Linked DNA regions of Neodiprion lecontei. The protein of the gene in region 1 interacts with the protein of each later gene in a pairwise test. Links are inferred from orthologs where the notes say so. Each region holds a gene or a part of one and is shown on either strand. Other genes may lie near its edges. The genes, in order: programmed cell death protein 2 and 40S ribosomal protein S2.

Region 1 (4,148 bases):
CAGTGTAAAATGTGCATTTTTACTTGAGACGAATCATGTTTTTTATATTGGAACGAATATTATGTAGTTGGAGTTTTTTTAGTTTGTCCTTTTTTACTATAATTTCAAACGGGGTCCTTTTCGGTTATGTATACACCATGCATCATGTAGTCTATGGTAGTGTGATCAAAAACCTAGAAATTTTATTGCCCATTTATTTTGCATTGATTAAATATTTTTAAGCAATATTGTGAACTTCCCAAACGTGAAATCCTAAAATTTCCATTGATTTCAGAACAACTTTCATTCTGTTTGCAAAGTCTGGAAGTAGTGTCAAAAGTTACTGTTTCAAGTATATCTAATTAATCAAGTAGTTTTATATAAAGGTGCTGTGACAATTTAAAAAATAATGTATTTGTTCTCATGATCATTACGCTCATTTCAAGAACTTGCTGCGTATAATTAAGAAAAAAGCGTTCTTGTATTAAGTATAGGAATATAAGTAATTTTTACTTAATATGATGTGTATATGAATCCAAGATAAGTGGTGTAAGCAAGTATTTTTGTTGTAGTCCAATCTATGGAACTTGAAATACTTATTCCCAAATATTTTTTTAACTTTATGCAATGTGAAAGAAATAAAGACATATTTTTTATCTACCACTTATCATAAACTTTCTTTATTCTCTGCATCTACAATATCTTGTTTCCACACATATTCTGTGACGTAACCGTTCGCTGTTTCACATGAGTTTTTACATGTAAAGATAGCCAATATTCCCCAATCCAGACTTTCCAGCGTATCCTCAAATTGAAGGTAATTCAAGAGCTGTGGCATAATCTGTACAAGAACTTTGTATTATATATATACTCAGAAACTGGAAAGCAATGATTTTCTCAGTTATATTTTTATCCATACAGACCTGAAACTCAAATTGCCTTTCGCTACCACATTCTCGACAATCTGGAATTTCTTGAACTTGATTTTCGGACGATATATACAAGACATTACCACCCCTCTCATACCTTTGGTGGAATATGAAATAAAATAAATATAATAATGTACATATTAAATCAAGTTGCTTATTATTGCTGATAGAGGGAACAATTTGTGATCCAGTATACCTCAAGATTTGATCTGGATATTTCTTCACTGTAGTGGTAAATTCGAAAAAAACTTCATCTTCATTTGCTGCAGACATTTTCAGTAAGTCAGCATCAACATTATCTTCATTTTGAAGCGTGCCTGCCTCATTATGAACTATTAATTTTTCATATTCTATTATTTCTTGATTTTCATCAACCACATTTTCACTTCCTGAAAGTTGATCATCGTTTTCCTCTGTTTCAACAACGATTTCATACTCAGGTAGTAACAAATTAGATTTTGCCGCATCCCAACTCATTCCACAATAAATCTTATGGCCATGTGTCCAGTCATAAACTTGATGTTCCCGAGAACAGTAATTTACTTTTTTGCATTTGGAACAGTGACTAGGTGCATTGAGTCCGCATACATAACATGATTTTGTCCAAGTCTCTGTGGCTGCAAAATCAAATTTAAGAACAATATAGAATAATCCAAGGAATTAAAGGATAAACAAAATATCATTACTTAAATATGATGGTTACGAATGAAATATGGTTAAAAAATGGAGTATTTAGAATGCCAACGCATACTTATGTCTGGTCTCCACTCTTCGGATTCAATTGGCGGGTTGGATGGATAAAACTTGTTATCTTTTTCTAGTTGCGAACGAAAGACTTTCAAATTACTGTTATTATTTGGTTTACAACATTTCGGGTTTCTGCAGATGAAAATAAATATTGTCCTATGGAAGGCCTTTGCATTATTTTCGTATGGTGCATAGATTTGCATTAAAAATATGCATGGCTGTTTGCAAAATTGACACTCAACATCCTCCTTACGAGGAATATCTTTCAAATTTAGCCACGCAGGTTTACCCCCCACTTTACTAGGAAAGAATCTACTCGCCAATCTCCATTCTTCGCAGTCTTCTATAAATCCGATATCAATTCTACCGATTTTATTTTCCATTCTTTAACTCAACTCACTGAGCGAATTAAACTACTTGTTACTCCACGGTGCTCCACAGCTTCGTACATGTGTTTAACGAAGGTTTAACCAACGTTCAGCCGATATATAAAGACGGATAACCCCGGGTTATTTTGCGTAACAGTTTGCCGGGTCTGGCCGGGTTTGGAGGTATTAGCAGTTTCACGTATTATCAACCAAGCAGTTGACCACAGCGGTGAGAGAAGTTCTTCTTAACCAACTACTACCGTGTGCAAAACGTGGGTAACATAGCGTCGTCATAGTGAAATTGAACAGTTAAGAAAATCCCGTTTAAGAAATATCTGTAAGTGGTCGGAGAATTCATACTTCGTCTGACGTCGTATGTACGGTAATGCTCTAAACATTTGATCGCGTCGCATGTAGCTTACGTGGGTTTTCACCGGGCCCTTGAGACCGTAGAGATATAGGTATAAAATATAACGTATCAACGGCGCAAGCGTCCCGTGAACGACTTCAAATCGGTTCTCTAAAGGACAGAAGATAATAATTTTCTTGCCCTCTCTGTCGCTCTACCCATCGAGTGAGGGCCACGAGATGAGAAGAGCGCCGTGCGGCATCAGTTGTTTCGGAGCAATCGGAGCGAAATCATGTGTTTCCAGCATCGGTTCAACGTTCAGACCGCGGTGTTCAGGTTGTGTCACGTTGTTCGATCAGTGTATTTTCACCATGCTCATCTGTGAATAATACACGAGGAGCAGCGTGTAGCCTGAAGAAAAACTGAGTTACTGAAATAAAAACGTCCTGCGAAAGTGAAGGTGAATTTCGTGTCCCGAGTTTTCATTGTTTTGTGTAACTTCAGATTTCAGTGATATCTGTTTGTCCTCTGTGCGTCGAATGTCAATATTATTATTTTTTTGGCTGATTTTCGGCAAATGCGCAGTTGCATTGTTAGCAAGGTTATTCAGTCGGTTCAAACAGACAGATACAGTACAAAAAGTGAGTGTAGGATCGAGTGTTATTGCGGTGCGGATTTGTGCATTATAAGAGATTAGTGAAGATCTGAATTATCTACAAAGTGCGACGCTTCACCAATGAACCTGAGATGCTACAAGAACTACTACGTATAAAAGTGTGGAGCAACCCAGAGTCGAGGTAACAATGCTTATTTTAATTGATTGATAATTCAAGGTGGTACATCGTATAGAGCCGAACAGGCCAAACTTTTGTTCTTGCATAACATGCAGTGGATGTGAAACTAAACTGTAATAATTAATTTGCGAACTGAAAAGCCAATTTGTTAAATTAATACTATTGTTTTTTACAGATTTAAGCAGAGACTTCCGAGTAACTTTTCCATTTCTCGGCAACGTTGGTGAGTTTGCACGTGTTAGGTTATCGGTATTTTTCCCTGGGATTCCTCTGTCACGTGGCGTGGCGGTAACAATTGTTACACAAATCTTCGATTTCTTAGCTGCATGGATAGGCTCATTCACGATCGCAACGTGCTTGACTTTCAGTCGAATAATTGTTTTTTCGCAATTTATTTTACCGTAGCTTACTTAAAGGTAGAAATTTTACACGTTGCTAAAAGTGGAATGAGCATCGCGACAGGTAACCATCACTTACTCGGCACTCGCGAGATCGAATTGTGTTTCGTAAATGATGTAATAATCTACTTTTAAATTTATCCATGGTGTCGTTAAAATGGTGGTTTCACCTGAGGTTTGAACGTATTCAATTATTCACATTATTGTTAAATCGATAAAATTCCGATGTCTGGCATAACGTAACGTAATCAAAATGCATCTGATGTTATGTATCATTTTCAATCTTTTAACAGCCAACAAGTATTGATCAACTGCTGGCTTAGCTCGCTTAGAAAAATGCTAATTGGCATACAGGATGTTTTTAATCAATTTTACAAAATGTTAATGTACCGATAGTCTGCCAGCATTTACTAAAATAATGCGTACAACATTAGGGTTGGCGGGAACAACCGCGATACTGTATTCCGAGTAGGCAGACTATGATACAAAAACATTTTACTCGAAACAGGTAACCAACGAAAACGTAAGTCAGTGACCACAGCGCAAATGATGAAGAATGATGTGTGTTTGAAAAAATGGAGTAT
Region 2 (4,342 bases), about 19 Mb from region 1:
TATCTCACTGTAAATTCTAAGTATAAGCGTGCTCATTAATATGTAACCGGTATTTTTACCGACCGCGTAAACGTTTATACAACCTAATCTAGTTTTAATTACTTTTTCATGAAATCTTGTCATTGTATGCTTGAATATAATGAACCTTAAGCTAATCGTAATCCGACAGAAGGGTGTCATATTTATAGCGATCTGATAATTCTTAGGTATTGTATGTGGCCTTCTGCAACAAATCATGCATAAACTAATATAATAATTAGGAATATAAATGAAATGAATCCCATGGTCAAACATACGTCAATTGAAAAAAACATGTTATTGGAATATATTATTTAATATCACAAAATTATTTACCGTCATTTAGGCTATAGGTTACCAAAACTCTAAATTTGATAAAAATTTCCCGTATTAATTTGAAGAACATTTGTTTTGCAGTAGGTTATCATATTAGCACGAAAATTAACATAACACAGTCAATTGAAATCTCTTTTTATACATAAAAGTTTTGAATATATTATAGGAAGAGGATACGTACAACAGGAAAAGAATTAAGCAAAACAAGTGGTCATTTTAATTATCCAAGAAGATTTATTACTGTAACAACCAGGTCAGGTTTTTTGTTTTTTTTTTTATACAGTTTCAGTGGGACGCGGACCAGTGACTGGACGATGATTCTTGAACAAGTAATCTGCGTACTCTTGATACGGAGCCTTTGTGAGGACCATTTCCTTCCACAAATCAGGTGTCAAGTAAGCATACGTCTTAGCAATGGCTGCATAAGTAGCTTTGGCAAAGTTTCCAAGAGTTCCAGTCGATCCTCTGGCTGAGGTGTAGCAATCTTCGATACCAGCCATCTGCAAAAGCTTTTTGGGGACTGGAGCAGAAACTATACCAGTTCCTCTAGGTGCTGGGATTAGTCGCACCTGGACAGAGCCACACTTTCCAGTTACTTTACATGGCACGGTATGTGGCTTTCCGATCTTGTTTCCCCAGTAACCACGACGCACAGGAACAACCGACAATTTGGCCAAAATGATGGCTCCGCGAATTGCAGTAGCAACTTCCTTTGAGCACTTCACGCCAAGACCTATGTGACCATTACTATCTCCTATGGCGACGAATGCCTGTAAAACATTACTAAGTAAGAACTGTCATATGTACGATGAACTTTTTTCACTCTGGAGAAAGTGATCATAGCTTTTACTGCACTTTATATAATAAAATTGTACTACTGTACCGGGTAATCAACTATATACAGTTTATAGCACGTGCCAACTTGTTTAATCGTTACATTACTTATTAAAGATTGCTTTACCTTGAAACGAGTACGTTGACCAGCCCTAGTCTGTTTCTGTACAGGCATGATTTTCAAGACTTCATCTTTCAGAGACGGCCCAATGAAGAAATCGATGATTTCAAATTCTTTGATGGGTAGAGAAAAAAGGTAGATCTCTTCCAGAGTACGAATCTTCCCATCTCTTACTAATCGTCCCAATTTAGTAACTGGGATCCATTCCTTGGCATCTTCTTTACCACGGCCACGACCACGGCCTCTACCTCTACCACCACGGCCTCTTCCTCTTGGACCTCCTCGGTCACCCCCAGCTCCACGAGAGCCAAATCCCCCACGAAAACCACCACGTGCTGGTGCTGTGGCTGCGGCTGGAGCTGCGTCCGCCATACTGAAATAGAGTAATGTTGACTTTAGCTCACTAGATAGTGACAAATGTATTTCTGATTTCCTAAAAAATTATAGACATATTGATTTTCATGCTACACGGCAGTTCGAAAATGGTGTATACAAGTTAGTGAAGTGATTACGCTTCTCGCCTTTCAAAGAATTGGAAGTTGATCGTGAATTTAGAGAAACGAAATTTCGCAGACGTGATTCGTTTAAAACAGAATTCAAGTTGCTTTCAGTAAAAGGGAAGATTGGAACTCTTGACAACGAATCGGCTCCATTAGAACACGTGGCGTACGTATGCGATTCTAAATTGAATGATATATGAAAAACTTCAAAGCAAAACCAGTCAGGCTGATTATAATCATAATAAGAAACATCAGTATATTCTTAATTTCACGATTCTCACAGTTTTTGGTACGTTATGACGCGTAAATTCAACAAATATCAGCAGCGTTACTTACTTTCGATTCCTTTGATAAACACGGTCACCAAAAGAAAGAACTTCCTGTGCCACCGGATCTACTGACGGCGCTAGAATCGTCCCAACGCTCCATAGTCGTTGCCTTAGCCGGCGGTAGATGGAAACAATGCTGCCATAAGCTTTCGAGGCTCTCGGGTAACCTGTAAAACTTTTCTTTCAGAAGTACGCTGGAGCCCACGTGCTGTGTTCGGCATTTAATGTGCCATTTCGCAAGTGTTAAATTTAATTATTATAGATCGTTTGATATTGCAGTTCAGCTAAAATGCAACACGACGACGTGAGTAAAGATACACGGTTAAATCTGTCAGACGATGTTTCTCAAATGGAAACAAAACTAACCTAAAATATGTTTTAGGTTGTCTGGAGTATTATAAACAAATCGTTCTGTTCCTTCAAAGTCAAGTAAGTGGAATCAACGAATACCTAGTTGGAACGAATCAACATTTATCCTTAGTAATTGACGACATTGTTAATTTTCAGCACGAAAAGTCAGAGGTTTTGTAGAAATGAATACAACCTGACTGGGCTTTGTAGCCGTGCATCTTGCCCGCTTGCAAATAGCCAGTACGCGACTGTACGAGAAGAAAATGGGATAATTTATTTGTATATGAGAACAGCGGAGAGGTAAGCATAGTGTTTAAATTTTTCTTAGTAAATATTCTATCGCAATACTAATGGTTGTTTTTATTGCTTCTACAGGGTTGCATTTCCTACCAATATGTGGGAGAAAGTCAAATTGTCCAGAAACTTTGAAAAAGCAATATATCAGATCAACGAAAACCTAATCTATTGGCCTGGATTTATTAAGGCTAAATGTAAGCAGAGGTTTGTCAAAATCACTCAGTATCTTATTAGAATGAGAAAACTGAGGCTGAGGAGGCAAAAGAAGCTTGTACCCCTGCAAAGAAAAATAGAGAGAAGAGAAAGACGTAGAGAAGAAAAAGCTCTCATTGCAGCAAAGTTAGATACAGCGATTGAGAAACAGCTTATGGAGAGATTGAAACAAGGAATGGTAAATGAAATCTTCAAATTATGTGTTTTCTATATTATTTAACTCTGAAATTGTATTTTCAAATAATTATGGGGCCGTTGCTTTTACTGTTCTTGTCTTTCTAGTATAACGACATCTACAACTTTCCTCAAAAAGTTTTTGAGAAAGCTGTTGAAGAAGTTGAGGTTGAAGGAGAAAGCGAGGCCGAAAGTGAAGAAGAGGTCAGTGTGAACAAGTTGTCCAGTATTTCTCATATTGGGTCAAATGAAAACTTAAAATTCTCAGAAAGTGACATGTCATACTGCTTAGAGACTCGCAAGATCTGTCACCACTTCATTTCTCATATAGACTTTAATTATTCTTATAATAATCTCATGAACAGGAAAAAGAAGAAGAAATTGAAAAGGAGGTTGAAATGGAATTGGAAGCTGAGGAAAATAATCAAGAATTCGTTGTCGCTGACAGTGATGACGACGATGACGACGATGATGATGACATTGATGTACACGAAGCTTCTCAGGTGAAAATCGATCATAAGTTTGAAAATTGAATTAAATAATAAATCATGTTTTTGATTTTACGTTCATAACACAGTTGTTTAAGTAAGTCAATAAATTATATTCCAGAATGAAGATAGCGATTCTGGACGCAGAGAGGAGGTGCAACTTTCCGACAGTTTTGAATCAGATGCATCAGATATCGAGGTATACATGTTTTTATCTTTTTTCATCTTGGTAAACTAATTTTCGGATTGTCTGACCTACTTGAGTTCATAAAGTCAAAACTGGGTCAATTTTCTGATAGTTATATGATAATTATGCTTATTTTAGGATGGCGTACCTTCCACTAGTAAGAAATTCACCAAAAACACTAAACCATCGAAATCATCAAAACCTGGGAAAAAGAGCAAGAAAAGGCCGAGAGTGGAAATTGAATACGAAGTGGAAAATGAGCCACAACGAAGGGTGCGGGCTTAGGATATTAATTTATTATAATAATATCTTAAGAATCAAGTGAAATTAATTGAAACTACTGTATTTTTTAATAAATCTGTATCAGATCGGCATTTTCGTATTTCACGTGCCTAATATTTGAAAGAAAAATCCTGTTCATAAGACAAGGTGCTGTCGCATCCAAGAATTATTGTACAACAATATTGAATTGCGCTCTATGAAAAGTGAGAACA

The links.
Region 2: the proteins of programmed cell death protein 2 (region 1) and 40S ribosomal protein S2 interact in a two-hybrid assay, tested with the Drosophila melanogaster proteins (2 studies listed by BioGRID). The link is inferred for Neodiprion lecontei from reciprocal best matches to the Drosophila melanogaster genes Zfrp8 and RpS2.

Annotation. Positions count from the first base shown.
Region 1 is NC_060265.1:23,291,073-23,295,220, forward strand, and holds programmed cell death protein 2, read right to left. Parts: upstream 2,118-4,148; 5' UTR 2,039-2,117; coding exon 1,660-2,038; intron 1,526-1,659; coding exon 1,105-1,525; intron 1,006-1,104; coding exon 903-1,005; intron 821-902; coding exon 647-820; 3' UTR 644-646; downstream 1-643.
Region 2 is NC_060265.1:4,273,031-4,277,372, reverse strand, and holds 40S ribosomal protein S2, read right to left. Parts: upstream 2,196-4,342; 5' UTR 2,146-2,195; intron 1,683-2,145; 5' UTR 1,682-1,682; coding exon 1,316-1,681; intron 1,125-1,315; coding exon 630-1,124; 3' UTR 566-629; downstream 1-565. Other genes in the region: protein MAK16 homolog A, read left to right, coding at 2,428-2,442, 2,521-2,567, 2,646-2,789, 2,865-3,177, 3,282-3,377, 3,539-3,676, 3,783-3,860, 3,987-4,133. UniProt on the Drosophila melanogaster protein: Component of the ribosome, a large ribonucleoprotein complex responsible for the synthesis of proteins in the cell.